Linked DNA regions of Caenorhabditis elegans. The protein of the gene in region 4 purifies or fractionates together with the protein of the main gene of each other region. This does not show direct contact. Each region holds a gene or a part of one and is shown on either strand. Other genes may lie near its edges.

The links.
Region 1: the proteins of mis-12 (region 4) and ndc-80 purify together in Caenorhabditis elegans (affinity purification with mass spectrometry, with the first as the bait; one study listed by BioGRID). This does not show direct contact.
Region 2: the proteins of mis-12 (region 4) and kbp-2 purify together in Caenorhabditis elegans (affinity purification with mass spectrometry, with the first as the bait; 2 studies listed by BioGRID). This does not show direct contact.
Region 3: the proteins of mis-12 (region 4) and knl-1 purify together in Caenorhabditis elegans (affinity purification with mass spectrometry; 2 studies listed by BioGRID). This does not show direct contact.

The regions. Positions count from the first base shown.
Region 1 is NC_003282.8:10,082,354-10,090,927, reverse strand, and holds ndc-80 (Kinetochore protein ndc-80), read right to left. Parts: upstream 4,792-8,574; 5' UTR 4,782-4,791; coding exon 4,669-4,781; intron 4,622-4,668; coding exon 4,219-4,621; intron 4,167-4,218; coding exon 3,879-4,166; intron 3,832-3,878; coding exon 3,472-3,831; intron 3,394-3,471; coding exon 3,290-3,393; intron 3,243-3,289; coding exon 3,114-3,242; intron 3,042-3,113; coding exon 2,723-3,041; intron 2,675-2,722; coding exon 2,618-2,674; 3' UTR 2,491-2,617; downstream 1-2,490. Other genes in the region: ttbk-5 (non-specific serine/threonine protein kinase), read right to left, coding at 127-194; ttr-39 (Transthyretin-like family protein), read left to right, coding at 1,084-1,342, 2,132-2,325, 2,368-2,445; col-2 (Cuticle collagen 2), read left to right, coding at 5,491-5,770, 5,818-6,443; W01B6.8 (uncharacterized protein), read left to right, coding at 6,555-6,742, 6,791-6,925, 6,970-7,131, 7,226-7,345, 7,395-7,437; W01B6.6 (Tyrosine-protein phosphatase domain-containing protein), read right to left, coding at 8,318-8,574. UniProt on the Caenorhabditis elegans protein: Acts as a component of the essential kinetochore-associated ndc-80 complex, which is required for chromosome segregation in mitosis and meiosis and spindle checkpoint activity.
Region 2 is NC_003281.10:4,902,684-4,909,330, forward strand, and holds kbp-2 (Mediator of RNA polymerase II transcription subunit 21), read right to left. Parts: upstream 1,202-6,647; 5' UTR 1,188-1,201; coding exon 1,092-1,187; intron 1,045-1,091; coding exon 829-1,044; intron 781-828; coding exon 601-780; 3' UTR 501-600; downstream 1-500. Other genes in the region: tag-340 (START domain-containing protein), read left to right, coding at 1-122, 172-278; F26F4.8 (C2H2-type domain-containing protein), read right to left, coding at 1,369-1,444, 1,492-1,589, 1,636-1,755, 1,799-2,068, 2,118-2,232, 2,281-2,371, 2,418-2,520, 2,589-2,624; rom-1 (Rhomboid-related protein 1), read left to right, coding at 4,543-4,743, 5,119-5,280, 5,327-5,496, 5,552-5,765, 5,816-6,139; F26F4.12 (ANK_REP_REGION domain-containing protein), read right to left, coding at 6,369-6,478.
Region 3 is NC_003281.10:8,246,991-8,256,448, reverse strand, and holds knl-1 (Outer kinetochore KNL1 complex subunit knl-1), read right to left. Parts: upstream 5,818-9,458; 5' UTR 5,814-5,817; coding exon 5,668-5,813; intron 5,621-5,667; coding exon 5,531-5,620; intron 5,479-5,530; coding exon 5,073-5,478; intron 5,028-5,072; coding exon 4,302-5,027; intron 4,258-4,301; coding exon 3,714-4,257; intron 3,670-3,713; coding exon 3,329-3,669; intron 3,286-3,328; coding exon 2,506-3,285; downstream 1-2,505. Other genes in the region: F09G8.5 (leucine-rich repeat domain-containing protein), read right to left, coding at 1-68, 329-558, 956-1,021, 1,098-1,474; C02F5.2 (DUF5356 domain-containing protein), read right to left, coding at 6,287-6,420, 6,467-6,557, 6,601-6,707, 6,758-6,812; C02F5.10 (uncharacterized protein), read left to right, coding at 6,977-7,106, 7,313-7,407, 7,455-7,637, 7,687-7,716; TM2 domain-containing protein C02F5.13, read right to left, coding at 7,796-8,009, 8,636-8,973, 9,018-9,098; putative GTP-binding protein C02F5.3, read right to left, coding at 9,312-9,458. UniProt on the Caenorhabditis elegans protein: Acts as a component of the outer kinetochore KNL1 complex that serves as a docking point for spindle assembly checkpoint components and mediates microtubule-kinetochore interactions.
Region 4 is NC_003279.8:3,603,639-3,610,906, forward strand, and holds mis-12 (uncharacterized protein), read right to left. Parts: upstream 2,066-7,268; 5' UTR 2,057-2,065; coding exon 1,975-2,056; intron 1,919-1,974; coding exon 1,851-1,918; intron 1,803-1,850; coding exon 1,722-1,802; intron 1,671-1,721; coding exon 1,614-1,670; intron 1,563-1,613; coding exon 1,473-1,562; intron 1,268-1,472; coding exon of another isoform or gene 1,235-1,267; exon of another isoform or gene 1,191-1,234; coding exon 1,041-1,190; 3' UTR 877-1,040; downstream 1-876. Other genes in the region: Y47G6A.31 (RING-type domain-containing protein), read left to right, coding at 1-116, 486-789; Y47G6A.25 (uncharacterized protein), read right to left, coding at 2,828-3,094, 3,142-3,227, 3,520-3,805, 3,855-4,112, 4,163-4,470, 4,524-4,641; inx-22 (Innexin), read left to right, coding at 4,978-5,231, 5,285-5,714, 5,764-5,850, 6,488-6,954.

The DNA.
Region 1 (8,574 bases), on a different chromosome or scaffold from region 4:
CTCATTAAATAGGTAAGAGCATTTTCACTGGACTGTCTCTAAAACTCCACTTTGGGCAAGTTTCCAAATGATGCAGTGAGCAAAACCCTCGTAGGAAAATGTGTGATTTTCCGATAAAAAACTAACCGTTTGCCAATTTTAAAACGAACATTGTCCATTGGATCCTTTTCCTCTTCTTTCTTATCGACAGCCATTATTATTTCTATCGGCTACTTTTTTCTTTTTAGCTGCCTTCTGCTACGCGGAGAATTGGAAATTTTCGAAACTGATTTTGAATATCGATTCTGATTGTATTTCTGATAAAGACGTGGAAAGTTCGAAGGGTCGGATTACGGGGTATTTCAAAGGTTACACGACTTAAATTTAAATAGTTTTATCTATTCTCGTTGGCACGAAGTATATCTAGGCAATCGTGACGAAGGAAACCTTTGACGTTTGTGTAGAGAAAAGCAAACTATTCTGGAACACTTCAAAAGATCTCTAAAATACAAATATCGAATTTGTATTTTTGTATGAAAAAGTGGATTAAAAGGGTGTTCGCTTCGAGAAAGATACAAAATGCTGAAATTAGTATATAGAAGTTCCTAAAGTTTGAAAGCAGAGCCAAGCGTTACTGAATTTGGAAAAAGGAAATTTCCTGCATAGGTGAAGCCTAATAGGTGAAATGGATGTAACATGAAAATGTTCTAAAACATTTTCACCGTAAAATTTAGGTAGGCGGGAAGGTCCTGTTGTGCCCATATAGGCTTATGATCTCTCTGAAAAACTCTCTGAACTTTGAATTTCTCCAGAATGTTTTTGGTTTCTGATCGATAAATGTTTACTGGTTGTTGATGTTTGTAAAAGTCCTGCAAATTCTAGAAAATTCTCAAACTCTTTTTCTTATTTTCATGAGAAAACCGAAACTTTGAAGTACATAAGCAAAGAGTTGCGTTGTTATTTTAATCTTTTGAACCTATTAATAAATCTTTTTTGTTTTCTCGGGATTATGTTAGGATTACAAAGACATTTAAGACAAGAAGTTGTTTCTGTTATTTCACTTTTTTTGTTTGCGCATTCACAATTTTGTTAAAACAAAAAATCATGAAAGTTTTGATTGTTCTACTATTCGCCACAATCCTTTTGACATTCTCCAATGCTTCAAATCTCGATGAAATCAATGCAAATGCATCTGAAACAGATGAAGTAATTGAATTAATTGCAACTCAGAAGCCGCCAGTTCGTTTTATTGACAAAGTTCGTGCAATTGGAAGAAAACAGGCAGTCGGCGTAAAAGGGAAATTAATGTGTGGAGGACGCCCAGTTAGGAATGCCACTGTCAAATTGTGGGATAATGATATGTGTAAGTGATAATCAGTTTAACATTCTGAATCATGTTATTTGGTAGCTTTAGTAGTTGTATGGAATATGTTGACATTCAGATTGATAAATTTTATCACGTGGTCTTATAACAAAATCAGAGATTCAGACACTTCACTACATGTCTCAAAACTAAGTGAATTTTGAAAAGATAGAGTACAATAATTTCGAAAGATAATTTGGTAATGTTATTTCCAAGGATCAAAAAATTTCCTAAAGCCGGTGTGTTTGGAAAATTTTGAAACAACCTGGTTATGGGGCTATTTAGGAATAGAGAGTCCGATCTTTCACATATCAAGCTTTCAAATCGACTATTTAGTAAGACAGGCACGTCGACAGGTAGGCACATAGGCAGGCAGGGACTTATATTTGTAGGCATGAGTAGGAACGCGAATTTGAAAAAAAAATTTAGATAGAACAAACATGCAGAATGGTTGTATACACATAGGTAGAAGGGCGTCATACAGGCACATATGTTGGTAGGCACGTAGGCGTGACTACATGCAGATAATCAGGAAATCGCGTAGGCATGCAGGAGCGTACGTCTGAAATTGTGCACTCCTACCAAAAACTAAATGTACTCACTGGACGGTAAAGGGCCACGATACACCTAGAAATATTTAAATTCAAGTGAATACCAAAACAAGAACAAATTATGATAAAACATTGTTCACTTAAAAAACAGGATCTCTCGTCTATTTTTGTGGGGACGATCCCCACAAAACCGTTATAAAACATTGCTTCAAAAAACTACAAAAAATTCAATTTTCAGTCGATCCAGACGATCTTATTGCTGAAACCCATGTAAACGAAGACGGAACTTTCGAAGTATCTGGATTTGCAATTTCAATAACTGCAATTGATCCCCAACTACGTATATATCACAATTGTCGTTCATCTTCCAAAGTTTGTCGACGCAAGATTACTTTCACTGTCCCAGACAATTATGTGAACAAGGGGATGCAGGTAATTGATGATACTTCATACTCCATCAAAATAATTTTTCAGGTGAATAAGTGGTTTGACTTAGGAGTTCCTAACATGGAAATCGGTGTGAAGCACAAAGAGGAACCACATTGTTATTAAACTTGCTTGAAACCATTTTTTGTGTAATATATTAAAGTTCGCTTTGCTGGAAATCATTGTTCATTGGCTTTTTATAAAATAAGTCTAAACCACAGAAATAAATGTTAGAGTCATTTTTTTTTTCTTTTAATGAAAGCTAGTATTATTCACAGAATGATTATGCCAAAGGAGACTAAAGAACCGCCTTTTCAATGCCAGCACATTGCACGTGGAATCCTATCTTTTTGTTCTGAAAAAATGAAAAATAGAATAGCTCAGTAAAATTGACAGGACCTACCTCAATCTCGGCGATTTCCACTACCATCAGATCCAATATTTGCCGGATTCCAGCTTCCAATTGAGATCTCTTTTGTATGTGTTCTTCTCCAGTTGCAGACATTCTGGCGGTCTCATCTTCGATTTCTTTCTCGAGGCTTCCATCAAGTTTCATTTGCTTTAGAAGTACTTCTTTTTCATTCAATAGTTGTTCATATCGTTGTTCAATATGTTTGCGAGCATCTTTCCAGCTATCACGTTCGTTTCGACGAATTCGTTCTTCGCGAGCCTCATTCTTCTTCGCTTCACAGAGTGTTTCGCTTTGAATTTGGATTCTTTCTCTGAATTATTGTTTATAAATGTGTATATTATTAACATTCAATGGAACGGCGCTTAATTCGAGTACAACTTACTCTGCGGTAACTGCTTTATTTGAAAATCTTGACTGTTCAGTCTCAAGCTCAAGCTTTCTCTGATGCAACTGTCGGCTGATCTCTGGAACCCATATCTTGTTCAACGTCTCCCAGTAATCCTTAAGATCTCTGAAAATGTAGATTTGTGAATTTTTAATAAATTGTTAGAAATTTACCTTTCATTCGTTGGAGCTCTTAGTGGTTCAAGATTCATTTGAATATTAAGTCCACTGAGAATTTTCATGATTTGTTCTGCGAGATGAATGAATTTGGACTTTTGCTGAAACATACAAATTTGATTGTCATACAAGTATTTCCGTGAATGATAGGCATTCAACTTTCCAAAAACCTAGAATACCTCTTTGAAGAAGTCTTCATCTTTGAGTTTCCATGTTTCTTTTGATAGACGATCCAACTCGCTTTGAATTTCCAGTACCACCTCCTTGTCTTTATTATTGTCAAGATTCATTTGACGCACTTCTTTTCCTGTCAATCCGTGAATTTGTTTTTGCAACTCAATTTTGTTCTTCAGATCGTCCACCATCTTTTGCACTTTTTCATTTTCTGAAATTTTCTCCTCTTGCTCCGACTTCACCATAGCCAGTTCTTTCTCCATATGCTGCTTAACATGAAGATTTTGCTCGAGATAATCTTTAGCTTTTCGGATGTCGTCTCTGATTCTTGATATCTCTTCTTTTAAGCTTGCTTCGTTTCCTTTCTGAAAATAAAACTTCTTTAAAACAAAAGTATCGAAATTCTACTTACATCAGCCTCTATCTCATCACATTCGTAATTGAGCATCTCCAGAGCTGATGCAGCTGTTTTAGTCATATCCTCGAATTCATTGGATTGCTCGAAATACTTCCGTAGACGATGCTTCGTGTCGTCCCAGTATGAAGAACTGGGATTTTCTGCTGCTTTTCGATCATTTGTATAATCTCTGAATGTACTTGTCATCCATGCATAATTGAGCGTTTTTTCTTGAGCTTTTCCCTGTTCCATGAAATCACCGAACAGGATATTTTGTGTGTCCTCACTGACAGCAGAATTGATCTAAATGGTTAAATAAATAGGGATGAAAATAATAAAAAAATCAGTTACTAACTCTAATGATATCAATAAGCCAAGAAAGTGCGTCAAGAAGATGTGGATATCCATGAGAAGATCCCATTGGTTGGTAGTAGCTGTTTTTGAGTGGATACGGGTATCCAAGACCTTTGAATATCTGGGACACCTCCTCTTCAATCCGCTCATGCCGTGGAAATTCGTAGTCTTTACTGAGATGTTGGTAAATTAATTCGAAACAAGCAATGAAATCATTCTTTCCACGAGGTTTCATAATGAGCTGTTCTGATGGTGCATCCGAGCTTTCATATTCCACAAGAAAGTTGTAAATTTTGCTTCCATTTAAGCTGACCAATGATTTCACATCTCGCGGAGCAACTGATGAATTTTTAGTATTAAACAATGACACACGAGGTTGACTCAGACTGGGGCGAGCGTCAGTTCTGCAAATTAGATTAGTTCTTCATCGCACGAAATTGGATATTTTTACTTTCTGACTGATGTTGATCCAGTATAATCGGTGAATCTTTTAGTCGGAGTGATAGCGATTGAGGCACGTCCGTTGAGATTCAAGCCGCCCGTTTTTCTTCGATCTCCAAACATTGTCAAGAAACTGTAATGAGCGAATAAAATTGACCAGAACTGAATATACTAACGGAAGGCGACGCATATAAAATTTAAAAAAATAATTCTGGCAACTATTGAGAACTTTGTTTTCCAACTTAAAGAAGAAAAAACATTTTTACAGAAATATTTATGAAAAAAAAAACGAAAATAGAAATTTGAGTAAAAACAATATCGAGAGAGAGAGAGAGAAGTCACATTTGAATTTTCCCGCTATAGCAATTGTGATTGGAGCGCACTTACATTACAGAGACGCTGCACTCGCGAGGAAACTGATTTCCGGAGATTCCAGAATGAAGGAATTGTTGGAACTTTTGAGATATAATTTCAAACACGATTAATATACAATAGAATTGAATTTTCCTACAATGGTTAGATCATTTCCAGTCGGTATATTGATAAACAGAAGTTGCCCCTTAATATTTGCATTTTTGTAATTGAAGTTTCCAGCCAATAATTACGTCAAATTTTTTTTCTTCGAGAAACTGATATAGTTTACAATAATAAACCAGTATCTTTAACCAATGGAGTGATAACACAGAACTGGATCCTCTTATTCTTTCTCTTTTCTTTCTCCTTAACAAGAACAATTATACCAGTTCCAAGTAATAGCCATGGACGTCTCTAGTATAAAAACATCAGTTCTTTTGGAATTCTTCAGTCCATCACTCACCCTCCAACAGTAATCATGGACATCGACGCTCGTATCAAAGCTTATAAATTTGTTGCCTATTCGGCAGTCACCTTCTCGGTTGTCGCCGTTGTCTCTGTTTTCATCACATTGCCAATGGTTTATAACTATGTTAATAATGTGAAGAAACAGATTCACACTGATGTTAATTTCTGCAAGGTTTCTGCTCGTGATATCTGGAGTGAGGTGCATCTTATTAAGGATGCTCCAGGAAACAATACTCGTGTTGCTCGTCAAGCTTATTCCACTGGAGGAGCTGGAGGAGGCGGAGGCGGAGGTAAGGATCTTGGTTCACAGAGTTTAAGTATTTGAATACATTTTCAGGCGGCGGAGGATGTGATGGATGCTGCAATCCTGGACCACCAGGACCAGGTGGATCTCCCGGAAAACCAGGAAAGCCAGGAAAGCCAGGAGCTCCAGGAGCCCCAGGAAATCCAGGAAAAGGAGCATCAGCTCCATGTGAGCCAGTTACTCAACCACCATGCCAACCATGCCCAGGAGGACCACCAGGACCAGCTGGTCCAGCCGGACCACCAGGACCACCGGGACCAGATGGAAACCCAGGATCACCAGCCGGACCATCAGGCCCAGGACCAGCCGGACCACCAGGACCAGCAGGACCAGCCGGAAACGACGGAGCCCCAGGAGCCCCAGGAGGACCAGGAGAACCAGGAGCATCCGAGCAAGGAGGACCAGGAGAGCCAGGACCAGCTGGACCACCAGGACCAGCCGGACCAGCCGGAAATGACGGAGCCCCAGGAACCGGAGGACCAGGACCAGCTGGACCAAAGGGACCACCAGGAGCTGCTGGAGCACCAGGAGCTGACGGAAACCCAGGAGGACCAGGAACCGCTGGAAAGCCAGGAGGAGAAGGAGAGAAGGGAATCTGCCCCAAGTATTGTGCTATCGACGGAGGAGTCTTCTTTGAGGACGGAACCCGACGCCGCTAAATTTAGAAGCGTGCCGTTTGTGCCAAATAAAGCATTTTTCATTCAACTTCTTTGTTTATAACATCTACATACCACACGAAGAAATATTTTTAAAAACGTAATCCTCGAAATATGTTCAATAATTTTCCATTTTCAAAATTTCCGTTTATTTCTCAATATTTCAATATAACATCTGAGGGGTGTTCAAGCAAAATAATGTGCTTGTATTCACAAATATCAATTATTCTGTTTTTATTCTGGTCGTTAATGTTACAACTCATCATTGGAACGACTTGTGTCTCTAAAAATTCACAGAAGAGGTAGGTCAATATTTAAAAAAAAAACATCAAAGAGTTAATAAAATTAAGTAAGAGTTCTCGAGAAACGACGTCATCTGAAAGAGCATGTAAACCAGCGGCAACGTCAAAATCTTCATTGATTTCTGAGAAAAGTGAGAGGAGATTATCGAGTGAAAAAAGTATGAAAAAGGAGAAAATCACAGTGTAAGATTCAATATCCAATATAATTATATCTTGAAACTGTTCAGAATTGATTCTCTAAAAGTACCACGCCGGGCACCGCAAGCTCAGAGATTTACCAATTCTAGGATCTCAAGTAACAATCAAGTTTCTTTGAGAAATTCACAGAAATCTGAAACGGAATCTGCAAAAACTGAAATTATCAATGTACCATTGGGAAAGGCAGCAAAGTGAGTAAATCGCCTATCAAATGAGATTTTTAAATTATAGAATGTAGAGTAGGCTTTATTATTAGTAATCCAAATACCCTAAGTATTTATTCAGAGATGAAACATCCAGCAACATCCTCACGCCAGCAAACAAACAAAAAACAGACTTGCACACTGCACCAACTAGAAAAGCACAATTCGCTGATACTTTGAAAAGAGTTAAACGAAGAGCCACGTAAGAAAATTGTTTAAAAAAGTGTAGCGAAATCATTTTTGTTTTTCAGAAAGCCAGATGATCCGGACGAAAAAACATCGTATATCCCGTGATTGTTTGGAACTTTTTGAAGAATTGATTAGACTTGAGCAAAAATAAAGTCGTTGCTTATAAAATTTCTTTTTTATAGTTTTAAATACACAGAAATAAAATGCAATTCACTACATTTCCAAATTTTATGCATGTTAGATAATCTTTTTGGTCTCCTTCCGTTTTGAAACGCTCTTACCGAGTTGTTAAATAAGCCAGTGCCAGTCGAAACGTTAACCAAGTGTGTCTCTTTTCTCCCTCTGGGAGAAAAATATTATAACTTTTACTAACAGATTCAAAGGTTCATGTTGTCAACAGTAAAACCAGATTAGAAAATTTCTTGAAGTGAGAAAAGCTTTAATTTTCTCCAGTTAAACTTAGAATCCCAAAGATCAATGTTCAATCAGAAATCTGCCTGAAAAATATTGAATCTTCATAAGGTCTAAAATGATAGACTAATCGGAGGAGCCAACTGTACTTGAGGATATAAATTTTTCTTTTAACTTCAGCAATACAAATTCATAATCGAATTCTTTATTCAAAATCATAGTTTACTTCTTTCCATGCTTCTTTCCACTTTTTTCAGTAAGACCTGCTTCATCTGGTGTTGGTGGAGCATTGATTCCAAGAGGATCGGACTGGAAGAAGCGTCACGAATTTTTTTTTGCAGAAAACGCACTACAGAAAATGTTGCGAATTCAAATATTCATAACTACTTCTTTCCACGGCTTCAGTGGTCAACTGAAAATAAGGACAACGACGTCTTTGTCTCGAATAATTGAAGGAGCTTCTGAGAAACTCTGTGAAGACTGAGTTTATTGAAACTTTAATAATTAATTTTTCCGCAAAAGGTAAATACTATTCAACAAATGCTTTTCAACAAACAGAAAAAATTGAAAAGATTTATTGCACATTTGGAGCAAATTCTACAACCTTCTTCTGAACTTCCTCATCCGAACACTTGTTTTTAAACCATAAAGCCATAGCTCGATGAACTGTATTGAATTGATCAGCGTTTTCTACGAGACCACTTCTTTCTCCTCTCAGCTTGATCAGTATCTCCTTCGGATTCACTTCTTTGCTTTTTTGAACAGAAAGCATTGATGTGAAGAGCGTTAACATGGTCCCTGCTCGCCCAATTCCATTCATGCTCATCAACA
Region 2 (6,647 bases), on a different chromosome or scaffold from region 4:
ATGCCCAAACAATGGAAATCCGAAAATCGTACGAGGACACAATTTCCCATCCATGATTCGAACATTGAAAGATGAAGCAGGAGTAACTTATTTCGAATGGCTCATGAAGACTGATCTCAAAGGTATGAAAACTAAAACTTTATCAATTTTTCTATTCATTATATTTTTCAGGTGGCCTTCCACGCCGTCTTGTTCACTCGGGAATGGTCAATTACTTCAGTGAGCACGTGAAACGGATGAATGAGTTCGCAGAAACCCATTATCATTGTCCTCCTTGAGATTCAACACAAAATTATATTTTATACCTTGAATGTGATTTACTTTTTTTTTTCTGTAAGTATCTGTCCCCTATTTCCCATCGCTAGATATTCCTGCTAACCTTTATCATGACTAATCACTTTTTAAAGTTTCATACCTCCTTGCCCTTTCTGAATTTTCCCCTCACAATTCCAAACCAATATGAATATTAATTATTCCGAAAGATGTTTTTTTTGAAGAGAAAGTTTTATTTTAGAGACAAACAAAAGTTCAGAAAAATTTGGTAAATAGGAAAAGAAAGATTCAGTTAAATTAAGTGAAGGTTATATTAATATCAAAATTCTACAGCTTTTGCTGTTGTGACTCGACAATTGTTGCAAGCTCCTTGAGCACCTGCTTACGACGAGCTATTTCATCTTCTTCAGCTTTCAGTTCTTTTTCAATCTTTTCGATTTCAGCATCTGCTTCAGTGAGCATTTTCTCGGCAGTTTCGGAGAGGTGCAATGCGACATCTCGTTTTGCCTAAAACGATGAAAATGTGTATATTAATATTAAAATCAATATACAAACATTGACTGGATTATATCCCATTTCTCTTCCGAGTTGCTTATTTAATTCTTCAGATTCTCTCGTCAATTGTTCCATATCATCGAAAAGTTCGTAAACACTATTTTCTTTAATCATTTGATCAGTCTTCTCCAAAACTTTTTGTTGTGTTGATTTCGCCATTCGAGCCATCACAGCATCCACTGCAGCTTTATCCATGTTGAGTTTTCTATGAGAACTCTGAAAATTTTAGTTCTGGATAAAACGTGCAAAAATATCAAGCTTACCATTTTCCACAAATCCTGGGACTCTAACAATGATTTTGTGAATATTTCCAGAGTTGTGTCCAGCATTTGATTCAAGACTTCTTTTCTTTGCGACATGATATTGATTTTATCTAAAACGCGGAAAACTTACAAATACACTTAACAAGAAACTATGAAACGAAATTAAACAAGAAGTATTTTAAAAGTTATGGAACTTCACGCAGGAATAAATTTGAGCAGAAATACAAGTATTATGCATATTTATTTGTTAAATAAAATAAAGGAACATGAAATAGAACTATTCATCGCTTTCGTTTTCTCCTCCAAAACCAATTGTATGTGCGAAGTAGTTTAGATGAAGAGCGAACGCTTGTCTGTAATTATTACTGATCTTCAGAGCAAAATCTTCGAAATAGCCTACCGATTCTCAAACTTTCGGCCGCATCCAGAACATTTGAACGGATCGTCAATTTCGTGATATCCAATGTGCGTCATCCAGAGGATTGCGTCGGTGAAACTCTGTGAAAAATTACGTTTTTAAGATTTTCCAGAGCAAAAACCATACCATCAAGCAATGAGTGCATTGGTATTTCTCGTTATCATTCAATGGGAATAATTCTGCAATCACATCCGATAGTTTCGCGATCATCTCCGAATTGGAAGCTGATGATACAGACATAGCCATCTGAAAATTCAAGTTTCAACCTCTATCATGCTATAAATCCAACCTGCAATTGCTTTAAAATCCCATCATCTTCGTCTGCTTCATAGATTTCTTCCTTGACTTCGATTTCTAAAGCATCTTGAACATCGAATTGCTTTGATTCTTCCTTTGCTCCAACTGAAGTTTTTCTTTCCTTCCGGCTTTGATTCTTTTTCATTCGAAGGAAATCTTTCTGCTTGATAATCATTTCCTCCGCATATTCTTTAAGTTCTCCATGCTTGAATGTGTGATGGAATAGCATTTTACGGAAGGATACTGAAACTTCGGAGCAATCCTGAAATGTTTTGATTAGTTCTGTTTCAATCTATCGATATTTTACTTACCTTGCACTTTATCGATACTGTACCATTCACATGATGAGCTGTATTCGCATGATTCTCGCCCTCTAACATGGTCTCAACGAGTTGATCACATCCTTCGGCACGACAAGGTAGAGTTCTGAACGAAACAGTTTTTCAAAAATTTCAAAATATTTCTTGCAATTACCCTTTGCTGATGTGGTCGAGTGCGTGGAAAAACAGAGTATCCGTTCGATTGAACATTTTGTCGCAGAAATAGCACTCCAACAATTTGTCATCTAAAAATAAATATTGGTTTCATAAATCTAATCGCCTGAAACTAACTGTGCACTTTGATATGACAACGAAGGGATCTTTCAGACGTGAAAAATCGATCACATTGTTTACATTTAACTTTTACATCGGGGGAAGTTGTATTGGCATTCACCTGAAACGTTTTGATTATGATACTTAAAAGTAAAAATATAAAAGCTTTGAATAAATATTAATAATTACCTCGAGAATCGCGGATTCTTCCGGAAGGCCTTCCATTTAACACTGAATAATGATTCACCGTCACCGTCCATATCATCAATCTTACACGTCTCCATGATTATGAGTTGTCAAAAGGTCACGGGAATATTTGACAAGAAAAACGTTTGCGTGTCCTCATTCTTTCTTTTTCAAAACGCGTCGACTGCCGCCAAAAACGGCATTTGGCCTAGCTTTCCGAGAGACTCGGCCACGAATTGGGTACCTATCAAAAACTGATCGATTTGCATAATATTGGATCATAAATTGTAATTAGTTTCAATAAATACAATGCACAATGATATGTTTATTTGTTTTAATACAATTTCTTTTTGAAAATTGGTTTGTTATTCCGTTCAGAATCGAGTAAAGTGCGTGGCCTAGAAATTCCCGTTTTCTTTTGCCAAAATAATTGGCAGAGGTCTGCAGAGGTGCACTCAAAACCTGAACAAAGAGCAAGGAAAAGAGCAGCTGTCATTGACATACACCCGTTCATTCACAATATTTCATAACACAATATACACTCATATATATTTTATACACCTTTAATGCACATAGAATTACAAAGTTAGATATGAATCTCTAATCTATCCAATAAGTAGGTCGATTTACGCGCATCATTCATTACTCAATATCTCCTTTGACATTTGCAACAAACTTTAACTACTATTTCCCAAGAATGTCAAACAAAAACAGAAGACACCCAAGGGAAGCTGTTCATTTGTTTGTTGCGATTTTGTAGTATTTAATAAGACCGCATATAAATGTTTGCAATTTATGATTACGGTTCCCGATCTCGGCACACCTAAAACAGTTTTTAAAAAATGTCGCACATAAAAATGTGTGCCTTTGAGGAGTACTGTAGTTTCCACTTTATCTCGTTTCCTTGCACATTTTGCTGTTTATTAAATAATCTTTTTTCACAAGTATTAATAAGAATGCCAGAAAAAGGAAAAATTGAGACCGGGGACCGTATTCTGGCACGTTGCAACACTTGTTTGATGTTGATTGTCTTCTTGTAATCCTATATAAACCAATAGAGGGTTCAAAAATAAACTAGAGAAAGTTTCCGTGCGAGTTTGCTCATTCCAATAATATTTCTGGTATGCTCATGTTTCATCATTCTTGTAAAAACTATTAGCACTGCCTAACCCCCTTATGCAAATACATATGCAATAGATCTATATTTCCTCAGTTCTTCCCGTTTTTATCTCTATATCTCTTTCTCTTCCACATTATTTCCCCACACACAGTTTTCTTATCAGTTTGTATCACCTTTCCTCTCTTTTCTTTCCGTATACCGCCAGTGAGTCATCTACACACTTCATTCACTTCTCACTTTTTGATTCGAAACGACATTTCCATTTTTTTCATGGAGAGAAAAGGAAGAGTAGTAGAGTCAATAAATGGTCTTGAAGTGACATCTACTTCTTTTTTTTTGTTTTTATTTTCAAATCGGTCTTTACATTTTCAGCATATATTTTTTTATGTTTAGGATCTTGCGATAACCCCCTTATTCTTCTCACTACACATTTCACCAGATTCAGGCATAACATGGTTTTCATTGATGTTTTATAGGTCTTCGATTGAAATATATATTTTTACACACGAGAACAATCACATAACATTTTTTAAAAATGAGAAAAATTAAACTCGATCTGAAAAATCGATGGTAACTTCCCAAAAACAAAATTTTGAAACTACAGTACTATTTGAAGGTGCACATCGTTTAACGAAAAATTTTCGTGTCGAGACCGGGTACCATATTTTCGGGGCAATAATCGAAATTTCGCCTTTTTTGTTGCCAACTGATAATACAGCTCAAAATTTCCAACTTTTCCTCAACTTATCCTCTTAGTCTCTTCTCTTATCGTTTCTACTAATCTTTGCACTCGTTTCGACCGCACAATTCCAATTTTCAGTTCTCCTTCTCCACAACATGTTTAGTAGCGAAGGAAAATTCCGAAAAACCTACCGTCATCAGTTTAATCAACTACGGACAGGAGATGAGACAGAGATTCCAATGTCAACACTTGCGTCTCGAATTGAAACACGAAAAATTCCATTGACAAACGGGCAGATTCATGCAATTAAGGAAGCTCCAGATGAGTTGGTCGATATTGATGGATTTCAGAAAATCGTAGGTTTCCAGCTATTTTTAAACTTTTTTGTTGCAAAGTCTGTGATGACTAGATTATTTTGTAAAAAAATGAGGGCGACTGGTTAAGTACCAATGACTCAATTGGTAGGTAGTAATTTCTGAGGAAACATTTCAAAATTATTTCGTAATCCGAAAAATCTACAATTCCGTAATGTAGATCGTGCCAGACCCATAAGCAAAATTACTATGAGCCTTTAAAAACTCGCGGTTTCGCTGAAAAACTATACAGTATCATACATTTTTTTGAATAAACATAGCAAAAGTAATTGTATGAAGTTTGCCCACAGTTATGGGCAGAACTATTTTGAACTGAGTGAATTTAATAAAGTATTCCAAATACACATGTAATTTCAGGTGACTTCAAAAGCTGCACAACGATCAACAATCAAGCGTATCATGTATGACATGGCAGATCCTATAATGAGCGACAGTCAGAAGATCGAAGTTCACTCCTATATTGACTCATATTCATGGTGCCCACCGCCGATTTTTATGCTTTTGATCACCATCATCCAGGTAAACCAAATACTTTTTGATTCAAATTAAACTTCTACAATTGCAGGTTGGAATTTTCTTTTTCTACTGGGAATCCGACGGTGGTAGAAGCATCTGGACAGATTGTGCTGGTTGTTTCGTGCACCATAATCATACAGCTCCGGGAATCTTCATTTTTGCGCCAAAATTGAGAGGCGAAGCGTGGAGATTCACATCCTATATGTTCTTGCATGCTGGGTTAGTCGGATTATTTAATTTTCGAAAATTTGAAACAAGCTTTGGTTTTTTACAGACTGAACCATCTTCTCGGAAACGTCATCATCCAACTATTAGTCGGGATTCCATTGGAAGTTGCTCATAAAATCTGGAGGATCGGTCCAATTTATCTGTTGGCAGTGACTTCTGGTTCTCTTCTACAGTATGCTATTGACCCGAATTCGCTTCTAGTTGGTGCTTCCGCAGGAGTTTATGCTCTCATTTTCGCACATGTAGCAAATGTTATTCTGGTGAGTCCAATTTTTAAAGAAATTATAAAATTAAACCTCTATATCTATAGAATTGGCATGAAATGCCACTACGATGGATCCGAGTCCTGGTGCTCTTCGTGTTCATCTTTCTGGATTTCGGTGGAGCCATTCATCGTCGATTCTATACAAATGACTGTGATTCTGTGTCACATCTTGCCCATATTGCTGGAGCAGTCACTGGATTATTCTTTGGATATGTAGTACTTTATAATGTAGTAGAACATCGAATTGAGAAAATAATTCGATATGTTTGCCTATTTCTATACTCTGCATTTTTTGCAACCACTATTATTTTTGTGATTGTTCGTCAGCCATATTCCAAAAATTTGTGGAACAACGAAAATTGCTCATAGAACTTAATAATTTTATAATTTTATATAGACATTTTCCTCGGGTTCTAGCTTTATTTGTATTTGTTTTGAACTACCGCCATACATTCCTTGATGGCTTTTCTGTGCTTACTTTGTGATAATGATGAAGATTCTCGTTTCAGATCATGTTTTAATTAAATAAATTGGAAAATATAAACAACCGCCTCCATAAACCCAAAAATTGAGATTCGTTCACAGTAAGGTTAGAGCTTTAAGGTCGTTCCATAAAATCGCGAATTGCATTGTAGAGTTGTTCAGAAGTTCGCCGAGCCATCATCAAGGGGGTATCTCCGTTACCAGCTATGACTCCAGCGTCGATTCCTGTAGAAATAATATTTATTTTTGAGTATTCCATAATTTATTAACTATCTTGAATAAATTTATTTGGTTCTCTAATTAGTATGAATTTTATCATAAGTTCCCCGGTATTTTTTTGTGATCTTTAAAACGTTTTCGTTGATAAATTTTAATTTTTTTTGGTAAAAAAATA
Region 3 (9,458 bases), on a different chromosome or scaffold from region 4:
AGAATTATGCATATCACATTCTGGAATACTGTCCTCAATGGCTTCCTGATGATCAGTTGTCGTTACAGCTGAAAAACTGAAGTTTAAAGTTTTTGGAGAGCTTCAGCTTTCGAGGTCATTTTCGGTTTTAATATTTGGATACATTGAAAAGGTTGAAATATGCGAAACTGATCTAAAATTCTTTTTAAAAAAACCAAACATTTCCTAAATTCGGAACTTCGCCAAAGCTGGACATTTTTAAATTTGAAAACTCCTAGGAGTGTATAATTGTGATATTTGATAATTTTCGATGGTCATTAGTGTAACTAAGCAAATTCTAAAATCTTACGCTTATCATCAAGTTTTGTCAGGTTTGGTAAAACTCGAATAACTTTTCTCCGATACTCTTGACCACCTTCTCCAACACAAGGATTCTCGTCAATCCATAGGGTTCTTAGATTCGGTAATTCTTTCAGATATTCCAATTCATCTAACGATTCCAAACAATTCTTCCGTAAGTACACTTCTTTCAGATTTTTACAGTGTTGAAGAGGGGCAAGGGATTTCACTTCATTAACACTGAAAATGTTATATTTAAATTCTATTATGAGGTAATTTTTGGAACTTTTAAATGAAGACTATTTTATTAAAATGATCATAGGAACTTTAAAAAGATTCCCACAAAGAAATCCTCCAGAAAGGAGTATATTGGTGAAATGATTTTCAGATTTTTCAAAGCATAACAAAAAGATTCCAGAAAGTTTTCCTGGTTTTAGATACATTTTGCAATTCACCAAAACTATGACTGATTTTTTTTAATTCAAAAAATTTGTTGTGATATTCAGCCATGTTTGCCTTCATAAGTGCTTTTAAACTAAATCCTCACTTACTGTTCCCCATCTATAAAAGGAACATCTAACTAATAATCTAGATTTTCAAAAAGCTTTTGAAAATCATAATATGAGACACAACCTACCTCAATGATAAAACTTCCAGAAGGCTCATTTTCTCACATACTTGAATGTCATCGATTCCGCACCCCCTGAAACAGAATACTAATTTTCTTTTTTTTTTTTGGAATTATTGCTTTGAGTTAAAAATTCAAATTTTCAACCTACCATAAATTTAGCTTTTTCACATTCTCTAGTGAACATTTTGTACGAATATATACAGCCGATTCAGTTAATTTCACCATAGTCGTGTCCCGTAATGAGTAAAAGTAATGGGACAAAGAGGGAAAAAGAAACGAGTTAGATGAGGGACTCGACGGAGCAGCTGCTGGTAAAACTGAAATGGAGAAGGACCTTCTTTTGGGAACGAGAAAAAGGGAGTGGTGTTTGAAATTGTTGGCAGAGAAAGAACGAAAGTGGAGGAAAGAAAGAAAAGAAAGAAGAAAAAAAGAGAAGAGATGTAGAATAAGAGGAAGAAGCACACTTTGGAATGCAATAGAAACCAACATGGACAAGCATGACAAAAAGAGCAACAAGTGCTCCATTTCAAACATGATAAATGATCATATTCAGAACTTCTCTAAGAATTTTAGCTTTTTGTGAAGTTTTCAAGTGCATAAAAAATTATTTTCTGATTTTCATTATTAGGTTGATTTAGAAAGCTCGCGCTATATGTTAGATTCTTCTTAACAGTGGAACAACTAGGTCGTAATGACCAAATATAACTGTACAAAATGTTATAAAAATATTATTTTTTCTCAATTTTACAACAAGACAATTCAAATGGCTGATCAGGCCACGCCCACTTTTTGGAGTTTTCATTTTTTTCTGGCAAATTCAATAGCCCTTGCAAATTTTTATTTTTGTTTTTCAAAGCCTCCACATAAAAATTAAAAACTGAGAAGAAGTAAAACTTTAAAAAATCAAAGTAAAACTTAAAAAAATCAAAGTAAAACTTAAAAAAATCAAAGTAAAACTTAAAAAAATCAAAGTAAAACTTAAAAAAATCAAAGTAAAACTTTAAAAAATTTGTATACTTACTGCTCACCTACGTACCTATGTACCTCCCGAGGTGTCAAACTCTTGCCTACCCGCCTTATTATGTATATTCTATTTGGAACTACAGTAGTAAATAGTAAGCTAAAATTATTTTTAAGAGAGGAGACTGAAGCTCCGATTTTTTAAACTCCGATTTTTAAACGCACAATAACTTCATTTTACAAAAAAAAACACGGCTACAAAAAAATTTGGTTACAAGGAATATTTATTCATTTGACTATTCAAACCATAAGTCTCCTTTAGATTGATTGAGAATGAACTAGGAATAAAAACATAACTTTGTGATTGCTCTGAGGCATAAATGTATAGGGGAAAAGGTAAACATCTTGAAGGAAATACAGCAAGTGCGGTTGATGCACAATGGGTATTTTTAGATGAAAAAAAAACTAAAATATATGGCACATTAGGTAAAGAATTATATGAGCATCAGAAGTATTGTAGGCCTGATGCAAGGGAAGGGTGAAGGCGGCATCTAAAATTATAATTTTTGACTGTTAATTTTTCGATATTAAACTCACTAGAAGTTCACAATTTTCTTAACAGCCTTAGAGAACACCAGCATTCGACTTTTCTTCAAATCGTTCCTCTGGGCAAACTTCTCGTGTTCTTCCGCGACTTTCATTTCGAGAGCATTTTTCTCTGAACGAAGTGCAATCATGTTTGAGCGTACATTTCGGAGTGCTTTCATTTTCTGGTCGAATTCCCATTGCTTCATCTCCATCCACTCCTTTCGGATTTTCCCGCTCTCTTCGCGTGATGGAGGAAGACTTCTCAGCTTTTCTAGTTCTTTTTGAACGACAGCCATCTTATCGAGACCTCTTAGCTGCTCAGCCATTTTCGAATTTCCTTGTTCTAGTTCAGCAATTTCCTGGTCACTTTCAATTTTTTTCTCGAGTGCAAATTTCAGACGAAGCTCCAAAAACTTGATTTCCGCGTCTTTTCTTGCAATCATAATCGCTTCTCGCTCATCATGACTAAACTTCAAGAGCTCCTTAGTCTTCAACATATCAATTTTCTCAGCAGAAAGTTGATTGGTTGAATTCAGAGAATCAATCTCGTGTTGTACTTTCATTTTCTCGTTTTCAACAATACGCTGAAATTTGAGAGCTTCTGGATGTTGTTCAGTGGACGGATCTTCAGATGTTAAATATACAACGTTGACCACAGCTGGATCGAAGTCTGGCATTTCGAATTGAGGAGATGGAGGTGGAAGTTGTACATTTTGTGACATCAATGATGGTGTTCCTGGGGCAGCAGTTTTTGAAGAATTCAGATGAGGAGAGCGGACTGATGTATTCTGAAAGACATTTTCGATTCAATACTCAAAGAGATATTCTTACCATCGCGAGAATATCTCTTCCCGAATCGTTCAAACTCATACTCGGCATCGAATCTTGACTCGTCTGCATAGTTTTATTCTGTCGATATTCTGTCAGAGCTTCCATTGTTTGCCCATTCATCGACATTATAGAATTCTCCAACGCAACACGACGAGGAGATTCACGAGCAGAATTCAGAAGAGATCGACGTCGTTTAGAGATAGACTGGTTGATGCTCAAATTGAAAGCCGAATATGTTGAAATCTTGGACGTGTTCACTGCTTCCGAGTCGACATTGTTCATGATTTGCGATGTTTCATTATGGCCTTGGAATGTGAAATTCGCGCCAGTATTCGAGGTATCTAAAACATACTTTTAATAGAGTTATTGAATAAACGAAATTTACCATTTTTCTGCAAAGTCTCATCTCCGAATTGCTCCTGCTCTTTGTTACTGTTCAGTTCAACAGCAATAGACTCATGGACCATGCTAATGTCTTCACACGTTGTAATTTGCATAGTTTTAAGAAGAGTATTGTTGTCCAATTCCATCGAATTGTTGAGAGTTGCACTCGAGTTGTGAAGGGCTGATGGTTCTTTAGTGGCAAGAGAAGCTGACTGTGAAGCAAGGATGACTGGCGTCTTCGACGAACCATCGTCTTCCAACTTTTGTGCTACATCAATCATGGAGGAGTGCATAAAAGCCCTTTCTTCTTCGATGAGCATAAACGACTTTTTGTCGATTTCCGAATGAACAGAAGATTCGTTTATCATGGATACGTTTTCTGAAGCATTTTCCTCTTGCCGCTCGAGAGACGTGTAGACATCATTAGTTGTAGTCACTTCTACATTCGACTTTGGCAACGTCAAGGTTCCATCATTTTGTGTCTCGTCAATGCTCATTTCGTCACCGAACACGATAGATTTCTGCGAATCAATGATCGAGTTGTTCTGAAAGAAATACATTTTTATTGGAAAGTGTGCTTAAAACTTACCGCTCCGATCTTTACTCTGGCAGGACTCTGGAACACAGCCATGGTGTCGTTTACTGCAGGTGAATCTCGAATCACCGAAATGTCCATTAAATCCTCCTTTTGAAGTTGCAAGCCGTCGTTCTGCTGATTACCAGCCTCACATGGTTGTTGTTCAGTGATATCCATATCCATGTCTAAATCTTCCACCTCATCTGCGATACTCGGGTATTTCGTTGATTTGTCAGCGGCTTCAATCGTTTTCTCGAGATCCATGCTGCTCTTACTGACGTGTTTCGGGCTGTTGAACATCGCCATAGTGTCATTTACTAGAACTTTCGGAATAGAAATGTCCATAAGCTGACTTGTCTCGAATTGATCATTTTTCTTCTCCGCGTTTAATACGGCCTGATCAGTGATGTCCATGTCCACAGGTACGACGTTCGAGGCGATATTTATTAGATTCTGAGGAACACCCAAACCCTTATTACAGATGTCTCTCGGACTGTTGAAAATGGCCAAAGTATCATTAACTTGAACTTGTGGCGCCGAAATGTCCATCAGTTGACTTGGCCCGAATGTATCATTTTTCTTTTCTTCAATTAAAGTGTGATGTTCAGTGATGTCCATGTCTACAGGCATGACGTTTGAATTAATCGGAATCCGGATAGCATTCATGGTATTATTTTCATCTAATTTACTCGTATCCATTTCAGCGGCTTCCAAGTTTGTGAAATTGAACACATTCATCTGTAAAATTAAGATAATTTGGTTCCTTCTATTAATTCAACATACCGTTTCATCGCACTGGCCGCCCGCTGCTTTTGATTCATCGAGGTCCATCGGTATAGTTCTATTCATTGTAGCGTTATGCTTCGGAACTTTGGGAATCGTGAAAAGAACTGAACGATCAACTGACATATCCTTATCTTCTTGATTCGTTGTATTGAACATTGCTAAGGTATCATCCAGTGGCATACTAACAATTCGCTCGGTAACTTTTGTTGTGGTTTCGACGATCTTTTCGTATAATAGTGTTGGATCTCTTGTGGTTTCAAACAATCTCGCCGTTTCGTTGTTCTCGTTGATAGTTGTTTCGAGAGACATATCCATAGTTTTATCGAGATTACCACCGCCGAACACTTGAAATGAGGACGTGCAGGCCGGAGATTCGGAAATATCCATGTTTCCGCCACGTGGTCTTAAAAAGATTTTTACGTATTCATTATTTCACGTTAAAGGATGGAACTCACGTCAAAATACCATCTGATCCAATAGTGTCAGTAATCTTCTCCTTAACTGGTGTGGCGTCAAGAATTTTACCATGGTCCCTGTCATACTGCCTGAAATAATTATTTTATTGATAAATTATTCACTGACTCTAACTGACTTGACATGCTTCACGTTATGAAAGCTGACTCGTCGATTAGTTGTTGTGGAACTAGGCCCACTGTTCATGACGGTTTCCTCGATGGTTTCGACGGCTTGCCGCACCTTGAGAATCGAGTTCCGCTTCTTACGAGGCTCCATCGACATGGCTGTAAATATGTTTTAAAAATGGTAATAAATTATGATTAAAAAAATAACAAAACAACGGCAGCATAAACTTCGTTAAATGGGAAAAGTAAAAAAGTGAAAAGTAAACGAAGGCAGTTTTGCTTGGCGGCAAATCTCTGTTTGAAATTGAACTTGTACAATGGAGCGAAGCTGCACTCGACACACCACCGGTTCCGTAGAACGCACACTACGAGTAATTCCTTAACTTGGGGCAGTATAATACAATTTTAATAGTTTAAAAAACCAATTGTTTCAAAAATTAGATAAAATTCAATATTAATAAATAAATATATGTACCATTACAGCTGATACACATTGCAAAAATATTTTCTACGAAATTCGAATTCTCAAAATCCGTAGTTTCTCTTGTGAGTACTGTATTTAGATATTTTTTCAGGCAGATTTCAATTAATTTTTTTTTAACCGTTAAGCTTTATTCAACACATAGAGAATCAGGCGGTATCTCTCCAGTCAGGGAATTCTAATTTTATTTGCACTTCTGTTCCATCTGGTGTAGTTTTATCCAAGAGCAATTGACATGATTTCTGAATCAATCGAGCCAAATTGTGGTGTTCTACGACAGGCTCTAAACCAATACAAATTAAGTTCCCAGAATTTTGTGATTTCTCAACTTAAAGGCAATGGAGTTTGTGGTGGAGATTCTTCAGTGACAATTATAGTTTCCATGTTCTTCTCAGTTGCTGAGAACACATTAACTCGATTCTGGAAAAGTTTTAATGAAAATCTACGTAAAAATAAAAATTACCGGCTTCTTTTTCACATTGAGAAGTTCTGCAGAATACGGATCATCTGATGCGTTCCATTCCGATTCTGTATAATTTTGAAGCGCTTCTCCAGTTGAGCTTGGTGGAACTAAAACTTTTTATTAAAAAAAAAACCGAAAAGTTATATATATTACTCACGGCTTATAGAAGTATCAGATTTACTAGGATTTTCTTCCTTCTTTTTGTTGTCCATCTTGTATTTGAAAATGATTTGTAAAATACATTTCCATAAGTGAAAACTCAAAATTACGTGTATTGCATTTTTTTTTCGAAATCTTTTAATTAAGAAAAAACATCTTTTGAAAAGGAAATAATTTTATTCTTCAAAACGATAAAATCAAAATCAAGAGGCAAAAAATGGCAGAGCAGCAACCAAGCAAAGAAGAAAAGAAAGAAGATAAAAAAGACGAAAAAGAAGAGGAACTACCAGCACCAAGTGTTCAGCAATCTATTCGACAGTTGCCGAAGATTCAAATTACTGATGATGGTAAGGATGAAATTTCAATATTACACAGATGCGAAATTTTGTTAGTTTACGCTGAGAAGTACGGTGCCCGGTCTCGACACGACCGAAATATTTTTAGGCAGCGTTTTTAGTTAGAAAACAGGCGTATGGCTTTAAGGACTACAGTAACCCAACTCCAAGCTATTTTACAGTTTTCGCATCTGGACAATACAAAGTTTAATTTCCAGATAAGGGCGAACAGCTGCCAGAATGCACTGAAGGAGAGTGGGATGCCAGTGATGAACCGTTCTCAGCTGAACTTCTGAACGTCAAAAATGCTCCAGTAAATATTCAAATTTGTAGTAAATCCTTCTAATCATCCAATTTCAGAACAAGGTATCCGTGTTCAGTGGTCCTTATCGTTCCAAAGAAACCATTGAAAAAATCAAAAAGTTCAGAGCAGCAATGCCTCCTGTCATTCCAATCATTGACGAACGGCCAGATAAGCTGGCTCAAATGATGAGTCGTATTTTCAGTGAGATAATTGACGGACGTGATCTTTCGAAGATTAAGGTATTTTTCTTTATAAAGTAAATGACAAAGGAAATTACAAATTTTACAGGTGACAGTTAGCACACAATTGCCGCAATGATTGGATTTGACAATATGAGATCGGTTGTAAATATTGACCAATAAACAATTAATTTTCCACTCGTATTAGTTAATTTCTTTTAATAGTACGGCTCCCAACTCGAGTCATCCGCGGGTCCGAGTACTCCAAGTACCAGTAAGAATATATCGACAATCCACCAGATTCCAAATCCACCCAAAGTCATTAGTTTTCCGACAGCCATTGCAGAATATCCCAGGCAAAAACGGTCGACAGCAACCACACCGAGAAAAATGGAATACAGAAGAGTTGTGAGAAAGTAGTGACCATTGTATCTGAAAATATGAAATTTATATTTTTTCTGAATATACTTCAAAAATCATATAATCTCTTCGTAGGAGCATCTTTATTGTGTCAGTTTTAAATAATTTTTTTAAAATAAACCCCGGACGCGAAATTTTGCGACTTTTGCGGCAAGAGTACTGTACCACGTCTCGACACGCCTTTTTTGTTAAATGCGAATTTAAAGAGTACTGTAATTTCAAAATTTCGTCGATGTGGAACTTTCATCGATTTTTTAAATATTTTTGGTGAAAACTGATTTAATAAAATTTATTTATTTATTTATTTGCATGTATAACATGAAAACACTTTAATTTTAACAAAAAAATTTTCTTTCGATTTGTGAAAATTTAAGTGTTTTCAAAAATAAATAATTAGTCTTTCACATAAATTTTATAGTAAAACTCCGTAAAAACTGTGAACATTCCGCAGCGAAATTTGCGGCAGTAAATATAGTTTGAAATTACAGTACTTTTTAAAGGCGCACGCCGTTTTGCATTTAACTAAAATTGTCGTGCCGAGACCAGTGTGACCAGAATTTTTTTGAAACTCAGGTTTTAATAGCTATTTATATTTCAATCAAAATAAAATGTTGAGTTTCGCTTCAAAAAAAGCTTACATTATACAAGGTGTTGACTTTGTAAACGTTCTTGGTCCATGACATTCAATACACGGAAGAACTCGGCACTTGACATTCGTGAACTCAACGTCCTCTGCTCTGTATCCACCCATTTTCAGACATTTTCCTTCATTTCGAAAACTCTCATTTGCTGGTTGCTGTCCCGTTTGTCCAGGGCCGTAGAGTGGAACTGGATCCTCACATAAAATGAAGGAATTCTCAAGAAAACGACATTCGACGACAGGTCCAAGTGGATTTGTTGATACATAGAAAAGATCTAATAAGTCATTTTCCTTTGATGAATCAAAGCATTTTTCCGACTTTTCATTATTTGGATACTGCAATTGGGAAATCACAATCAAAATTAAACTGCTCAGCTTACTTCAAATTCTATTCGAAATTCGTTGTTTCCGTTTGAAATATTTACGAGAAAGAATGGGATCAGCCAGGGTAATCTTCTCATCTGGATATTTTTGTAAAGTTTAATTCGGATAATATCTTTAAAACAAATATTTTTTAAGGAAAAAACCGAAAATTACGAATGAACTGTTGAATGAAACACATAAAAATTTATCACCGCATGGTGCCAGCTGGGAAAAATCAACAAGAAAAAAAGAACGGAAATTTGCAATAATTATGAAGACAATAATTAAAAAACTAAACAGTAGTAACAAAATTATTTCTTCACAATCTGAATCACATCTTCATGGTCGAGTTTATGATGAAGACCGACACGTTGCGGAGAGAATTTCGTCGATGTTCCCCAGACGATGGCATACCGGAGTTGAGCAGCAATTGAACGATGAAGGGCGTGGCAACAATG
Region 4 (7,268 bases):
CCGATGTGCCGAGAAGCGGTAAATATGACGCAGGAGATCCCGACAAATGTGGAAATTCTAGCCGTTTTCGAGAAAAAGAAGGCGAATCCAGAATGCAATTGTGATGATGAGTCAAGGTAAGCTCTTATAAGAATAATCGATAATTTGATTCGAAAATTGTGTTTTAAAAGTTATGAAAATGAAAAAAAAGAAGAAAAACTACTTACAAATCGAAAAAGAAAGAAGTATGCGAAAAAATCTAAAGAAAATTCAATAAAATCTACAGTAATCTTCAAGGTGCACATCGCAGTTGTTAATCTAAACAATTTCGCTGCGAGACCCTCGCTTGTAAATACGAGTGTGCGCCTTTAAAATCGTAGCTAGTAATAAAAATTAAAAGAATTAAAGATTTTTTCATGAAATCTCACAAAATTTTAAGAAAAAAAAAGGAACATCGCAGCTTAAAAAAAAACAAAAAATAATTTTTTCTCAAAATTTAATTCCAGCGTCTACTACTGCCCGACATGCATGCTCCAAAACTATGCAAATTGGGAAGATCGCCGAGAAAGCGGAGAGCACACGTTCTGCTTCGGCTGTGCGTGCAATCATATGGATGAGCACGAGCACAAAATCAAGCAGCTCGGCATGGGCTCCGAGATCAGCCTGGAAATTGATAAAGACGACGGGAAAACTTTGGATGACAAAAAATCGTGTATTTCGTCGAAAAAACGTGTTCTGTACTTCCTCTCGATCCTTGTAATTGCTGTGATTATTCTTTTTGTTCTGTGTATTTATTTCAAAATGATTTGATTTTGTGTTTCTAGACGATGAAATACGGGTCACAAAGATGTTCGGTGGAATGATTGTATGCTATTTTTCATGTACCTTTTCACGATTTTTCTCAAAAATAAATTTATTTTTATATAGTTGTTTAAGTTGGTAAATGTGTAGCTTCATAAGCACTCAAATTTGAGCTCAAGAAAAAAATTAGCATAGGATTAAAAAAAAAGAAAATAAAGAGAAATCAAATATTTAAAATATCGATTTTCGAACAAATAAGGTTAAACTGGAGACATTCGTGTTGGGCTATCGGGGACAATTCTCTTCTGGCTTATAAGCTGCTCTTGGCTCTTCTCCATCACATGGAGCACTTCAATAGCATTGTTCACTGCTTCTAGCTCGTCATGTCGTTTTGCCAGTTTGATGCGGAGCTGAACATTTGGAATTTGAAGCTTTTATGTGAAAATTGGAAAGGTTAGATGCAAAAACTGGCGATTTTAGCAGGTTTCTAAAATTAAGCAATTTTTCTTGAATTTTTTGACGATTTTCAGTCTAGTCGCGGTCATTTTTACTCAACTTGCAGCCTTTTTCAGTCATTGTAGTCTATTTTGGACAGTTTTAAGCTATTTTCAGTATATTTTCCGCATTTTTAAGTCCATTTAGTAGTGAAGAAAAAAAAAATTCTGATAGGTTCCTCATTTATTTTTATTTACCTGTCGAATTTTCTCCAATTTCTCGTCGAACTCCTTCTCGACCTGTTTCAGACTTTTGTGCTCCTTGGCCGACGCGATGAGCATTTTCTTCTGAAAAATGATTTTTTAAATAAATAATTTCCGAAAAAAGGCAATTCTTACGCATTCTGGAAGAGTCACAGAGGCGGGAATTCTGAAGATATTTGTGACGCAGAATCTCTGAAAAAAATTGGCATAAATTCAGATATTTAATCGAGAAATATGTCAAACCTTCATCATTTTGAATGCTTTCTCGTTAGTTTTGTCGCTGAATGGGAAGGATAGCAAGCAGAGACGGTCTTTGTCGGTGAGCTGAAAATTAAATTTTTTAAAATTAAATTTCTTTTTTGAAAAAAAAACCTTTTTCAATGAGTTCTTAAACTCATTGCTGCAAACTTCTTCCCATGCGTCGACGTAAATATTGAAAACTGAAAGATTTCTGATTTTTCCGCAAAAAAACGTTCGAAAATTCAATAAAACTCACTGGAATCGCTGAACGAACCGGCCGAAAATCCGAAAAACGAGATTTGATTTTCATTAGAGATTCCCGACAATTCGCTCTCCATTTTTAGTTTCTGAATTGAATTTTTAAAGAATAAATGTTCAGGATTAAATCAAGAAATGAGGGCGAAAAACTGTTTTTGAAGATTATTGGTTCGCGGGAGGTGAGGTGTGCATACACGCTCACGTCGCATTGCGGACATGGAACATGGATACATATTTATATTTATTATTAAACAGGCGTAAAAATTTTGCAATTTTCCTCCAAAAATACTGTTTCTGGTCTCGAAACGACAATTATTTGTTGAATGAAACGGGTGTGCGCTTTTAAGGATTACTGTAATTTCAAACTTTTGTCGCTGCGGATATTTTATCGATTTTTCATGGTTTTCTGTGTGACAATAGTTTTGTTAGTTAAAAACTGGATGAAAATTATGAAAAATAAATAAAGAAAGTCTTTAAAAAATAAAAAATGACGGAAAATTATCCAAAAATTGGAATTTTCTCAAAATCAAAAGTCGAAAATTGTCGCTTTTTCCTTTTTTTTTTTAACTCTAAAAATCGGAAAAAATTTATAAAATCAAAAAAGGCATATTTTTCGATTCTCTGGGAAATTCCTATCGCATTCAGCACAAAATTGTCGTGTCGAGACCTGGTACCGTATTTTCGGTGGAAAATCGCAGTTCCTGGGTAATCAATAGGAGGAATTAAAAAGTTAAAAAAAAAGTAATTTTGGCTGTAAACCAATAAATAAAACAACGAAACAAACCTAAATACCTATAAATTCCAAGTGCTTTATTCTAAAATTCGATCCTCTAAAAATCTCAAAAAATAAATCATTTATTATTATTATCATCTTCGAAGGGCGTGGGCGCTGTCAAAAGTCCCTGATCCGTTTGCCACGTGGAAGTGAACTTCATGAAGGCGTCTCGAGCATCCAAAGCGTCATATTCCCTGGCGAAAGCCTCAAATTGTGCTCTTTTTTCTTCAACTGAAGAAGCGATCCGTTCGATTCGAGACAATCTTCGTTTCAGCTGCTTCCGTTCTATCGGTGCAATTTGCTCGTATGAGTCGTCGGGAAGCGGTCTAGAATGTTCACCTGACTGAAAAATTTGATTTTATTCTCAAACAAAAACCAGAAAAAGCTGACCTGATTTACAAATTTCAGGGTTTTCCAGAGACATTTTCCCAGAGATGCTTTGAGTTGAATCAGGGTGATTGATGTTTCATCGTTTTCTGAAATTGGATTTTACAGTTGGATTTTACAAATTTGCCAAAAAAAAAACAAATTTTGTAATGAGATTGCCAAAGAAAATCTCAAAATTTTTTTTTGAGTGGTTAAAAATTTCGAAAAAGTGGCTAATTTCAGCTAAAACTCCTAGTTTTGGCTGATTCGAAAATTCAAAATCGAATATTTTACCAAAAATTGGAGAAATTGTCCAATTTTTTCGAAATTTTAATCCCAAAAATCTTTTAAAAAGAGATTTTTCAGAGGTTCCATTACGAAATCCGTACTCCCAGAACGGACCACTCTCATACGCCACCATGATACAGAATCCACGAAGTTTCGGTTTTGAAGAGAACGAGAAAAGAGCAGTTTGAGGACGTTTCGTTTCGTTTAACAAGTACTGTGATAAGGAAAAAAGAATCTTATTTCCAAGTTTAGAATCTGTTGTAATGTCCATTTTCAGCTTATTTGATCGTTTGCTTCCCAGGAATCCCTGACGGCAGAGCTCGATTTCAGGCAAAAATCCGAGAAATGAAATAGAGTCGATCAGTGTTACATGGCTTCCTATTTTTTGTTTCTTGAATAGCTGCAAATTTGAAATAAATACTTGAATTTCAAAATTTCACTAAAAACACCTTAATCTTGAATTTATCGCTTCCAAATCTACAAATAATTTCCTTTTCGCTCATTTTTTGCCGTTTCTCCGCAATAATTTCTCGGTTCAGTTCTTTCAAATCAGCGGGACACAATAAGAATCGTAGGTTTACACTAGATCGTTCAAAATTTGTAGCAACTTCCTTTGCAGCTTCATAATCGTCGTAAAGAGTTTTCAGTTCACCGATGACGTAAACAGTAAGATTTGGTGGAAATTCGCGGTCGAGCAATGCCAGTTTCTAAAAAAAAAGGACGATATTACATTAAAATTATATATTAAATAACAAACAATATTCAGGAACATCTCGACATCGATGAACCAGTGAAATTTCTTGATTTTATACTCTGTTTCGCAGCTTTTATTCATTTTTTCGATTTCCCGAATAGCAAATTCCGCATTCGCCTCGCCATTTGATTCAATTGTCTTTGAAATTGTTGAAAGTAGAGTTGAAATAGGCTCAAGCTTGCTATCAGAATTTCCACGCGTCATGCTGACTCCGAGATCGGTGCTTTTAGCCACCGCCACGTCAACCTCACAACCAATCATTTGTTCGATATGCAGACGGATTATATTGCAGCAGGTAGACCATCTGGATGCTGAAATTATTGAAATTTCCTGTGGGAATTTTAAATTTTAAATGATAGCTCACCAATATTTGCGACGTTTTCAGTTCCCTCGTCTATTGAATCCATTTCAATTGGAGCAGGCCATAGGCTGCTCATACTATTGCTCATGCTCATAATAAACATTGAAAATTCTTCTTCCATTTTTAATCGGAAATGGGTTGAAATTGAATCTAAAGATCTAAATTGAATAAAAACTTTGTTTAAAAAATGAAAATTTGAATTTCGTCGTATGGGTACGGTAGACAAACCTGCACATCAAACTGCGAGCGCGCGAAATTTTTATTTGGAATTTAAAATTAATTTCCTGCAAATATCGTAATTTTTTCCACTATTTTCCATGTTTTTCTTGGATTTCTGAAGATTAAAATAATTATTTCAGCTCAAAACAATCATCTAATCAAAAGGAGCGAAAATCTGAAAAAGCAGGAAAAGTAGGAAGCAATCCGGATTTTTACCAATTTAATTTCCATTTTTCAGATGGGCTTTTCGGCTATCGATAAGTTGATCCGGCCGTTTCTTCAACTTCACGAGTGGGATAACGGCGCCGAGCGGATTGTTCACACGACAACCATCCAAATTTTGATATGCTTTGGATTTTTGGTGTCTTCCAATATGATGTTCGGCCAGCCGATCACTTGTCTGATGCTTCCAGAAACTCCAGATTCATCTGCCAATTATTTTCACGATTTCTGCTTCTATCAGGACAAGCTGCGCATTCCTCCGCTTCACAAGTACAGTTTTTGGACAGTTTTTGGACATTAATTGTTTAAATGGTGATTTTCAGCGCTGTGAAAAGATCAACGAGGCAAGGAACAATGAATATCAATAACATCATGCCTCAGGAAGTTGCTGTGACCTATTATCAGTGGACCCCATTCATCATTTTTCTCCAAGTGGCCATGTGCCTCGTTCCGGCTTTAATGTGGAAATTTTTCGGGCTTCATTACTTTTACGGCCACGACTTTGCTGCAATCGTTCGTTCTCTTGCGTCGAAGAAGAAGGACGACAAGATGGATTCCAGCAATTCCAATTATGAAGTTGACGCACGAGAGACCCTCCGCTGGCTTGAGCACAAGAAGCGCGAACGTTTCGGTATGCATACCACTATGATGATCTACGTGGCGATGAAATGGATGACATTCGCATCGTTACTTTTCCAGTTCAACTTGATGGCAAAAATCTACGCCTCCGGAGAGCTTTTGTGGGGTGTTCATGTGAGAAATTGGATGTTGTAGGATTTTTTTTGAAAGAAATATTGTTCAGATTTCCTATGAGCTGTTGAATGGAGCATACAAGAACGTTTACACCGGAGTTTTCCCACAAATCGTGGGATGTAATCCTCATAGAGCGGTAAGTGCAGAATATCGCTCTTCTAAAACTATTAAAGGTGGTGTAGTCGAATTTTTTTATTGCCTTATTAGACTCAGAATTGTCTGAAAACACCGAATTTCATAATGAAACTTCTTGAAAACTTTTCAGGAAAAAGTTATGACGGCTCAAAAAATGGCCTAAAATTAGTTAAAATCGGAAATTTGCCTAACTTATCAATGTCGCAGCGGCTGGAAACAATTTTTTTTTGAAATCACCGTCAAATTTCGAGTACACAAGTTGATTACCTTGCGTTTTGAACTTGATTAAGATATTTAAAAATTGATGGACGGCGAGATTTTTAATTTTTTTGAATTAAAGCTCGCCGTCCATCGATTTTTAAATACCTTAAACAAGTTCAAGACGCAAGGTAATCAACTTTTATACCCGAAATTTGACGGTGATTTCAAAAAAATTGTTTCCAGCCGCTGCGACATTGATAAGTTGATCAAATTTCCGATTTTAACTAATTTTAGGCCATTTTTTGAGCCGTCATAACTTTTTTCTGAAAAGTTTTCAAGAAGTTTCATTATGAAATTCGGTGTTTTCAGACAATTCTGAGTCTAATGAGGCAATAAAAAAATTCGACCACAACACCTTTAAAATCAAAATTTTTCAGCAATTGGGTGGAGTTGTGAACGAGTTCATCATGCGCTGCATTCTCCCACAGAACTTTGTGAATTCAAAAGTGTTCCTGTTCCTCTACTGGTGGTATATTCTAGCAATGCTTGTCAGTATCTACTCGGCCGTTCAGTTCACCGCGATGTTGTTCCTTCCGAAATATCAACGATACGCTACAAAATCCCTTCTCCCAACGGAAGAATTCTTCAACGAACATGCCGAGAAACCGACGAAAGGTTCACTGGAATTCTTTGTCGACTATATGGGAAACGACGGCTATCTACTTCTCCAATGTGCCAGCGTTCCGTTGAGTGTCGTCAGAATTCGGTTCTTCTTGAACTCTCTGTATACGATTGTTGTTGAGAAGAAAAAAGAATACGAGGATCAGAAACCGATGGTCCCAAGAAAGCAGAAAACACCGATTGATCACATTCAATTCGACGGTCCTGATCGTTCTGGTACAAAGTGAGGGCGATATCAGAAATTGCGGACACTTTTTCGCTTTTTCTGTATTATGGGAACACAAAATTCTGAGAATGCGTATTGCACAACATATTTGACGCGCAAAATATCTCGAAGCGAAAACTACAGTAATTCTTTAAATGACTACTGTAGTGTCGATTTACGGGCTCGAAGAAAAACTAGTTAATATAGCCGGAAAATGCGAAAATGGATTTTTTCATTGTTACATAATTTCAAACATGATTTGTAAATTTTTCAGTCATTTTTTACTAATCAAATGTTTTTTATGTTCAATTATTGATTTTTAGGCTAATATT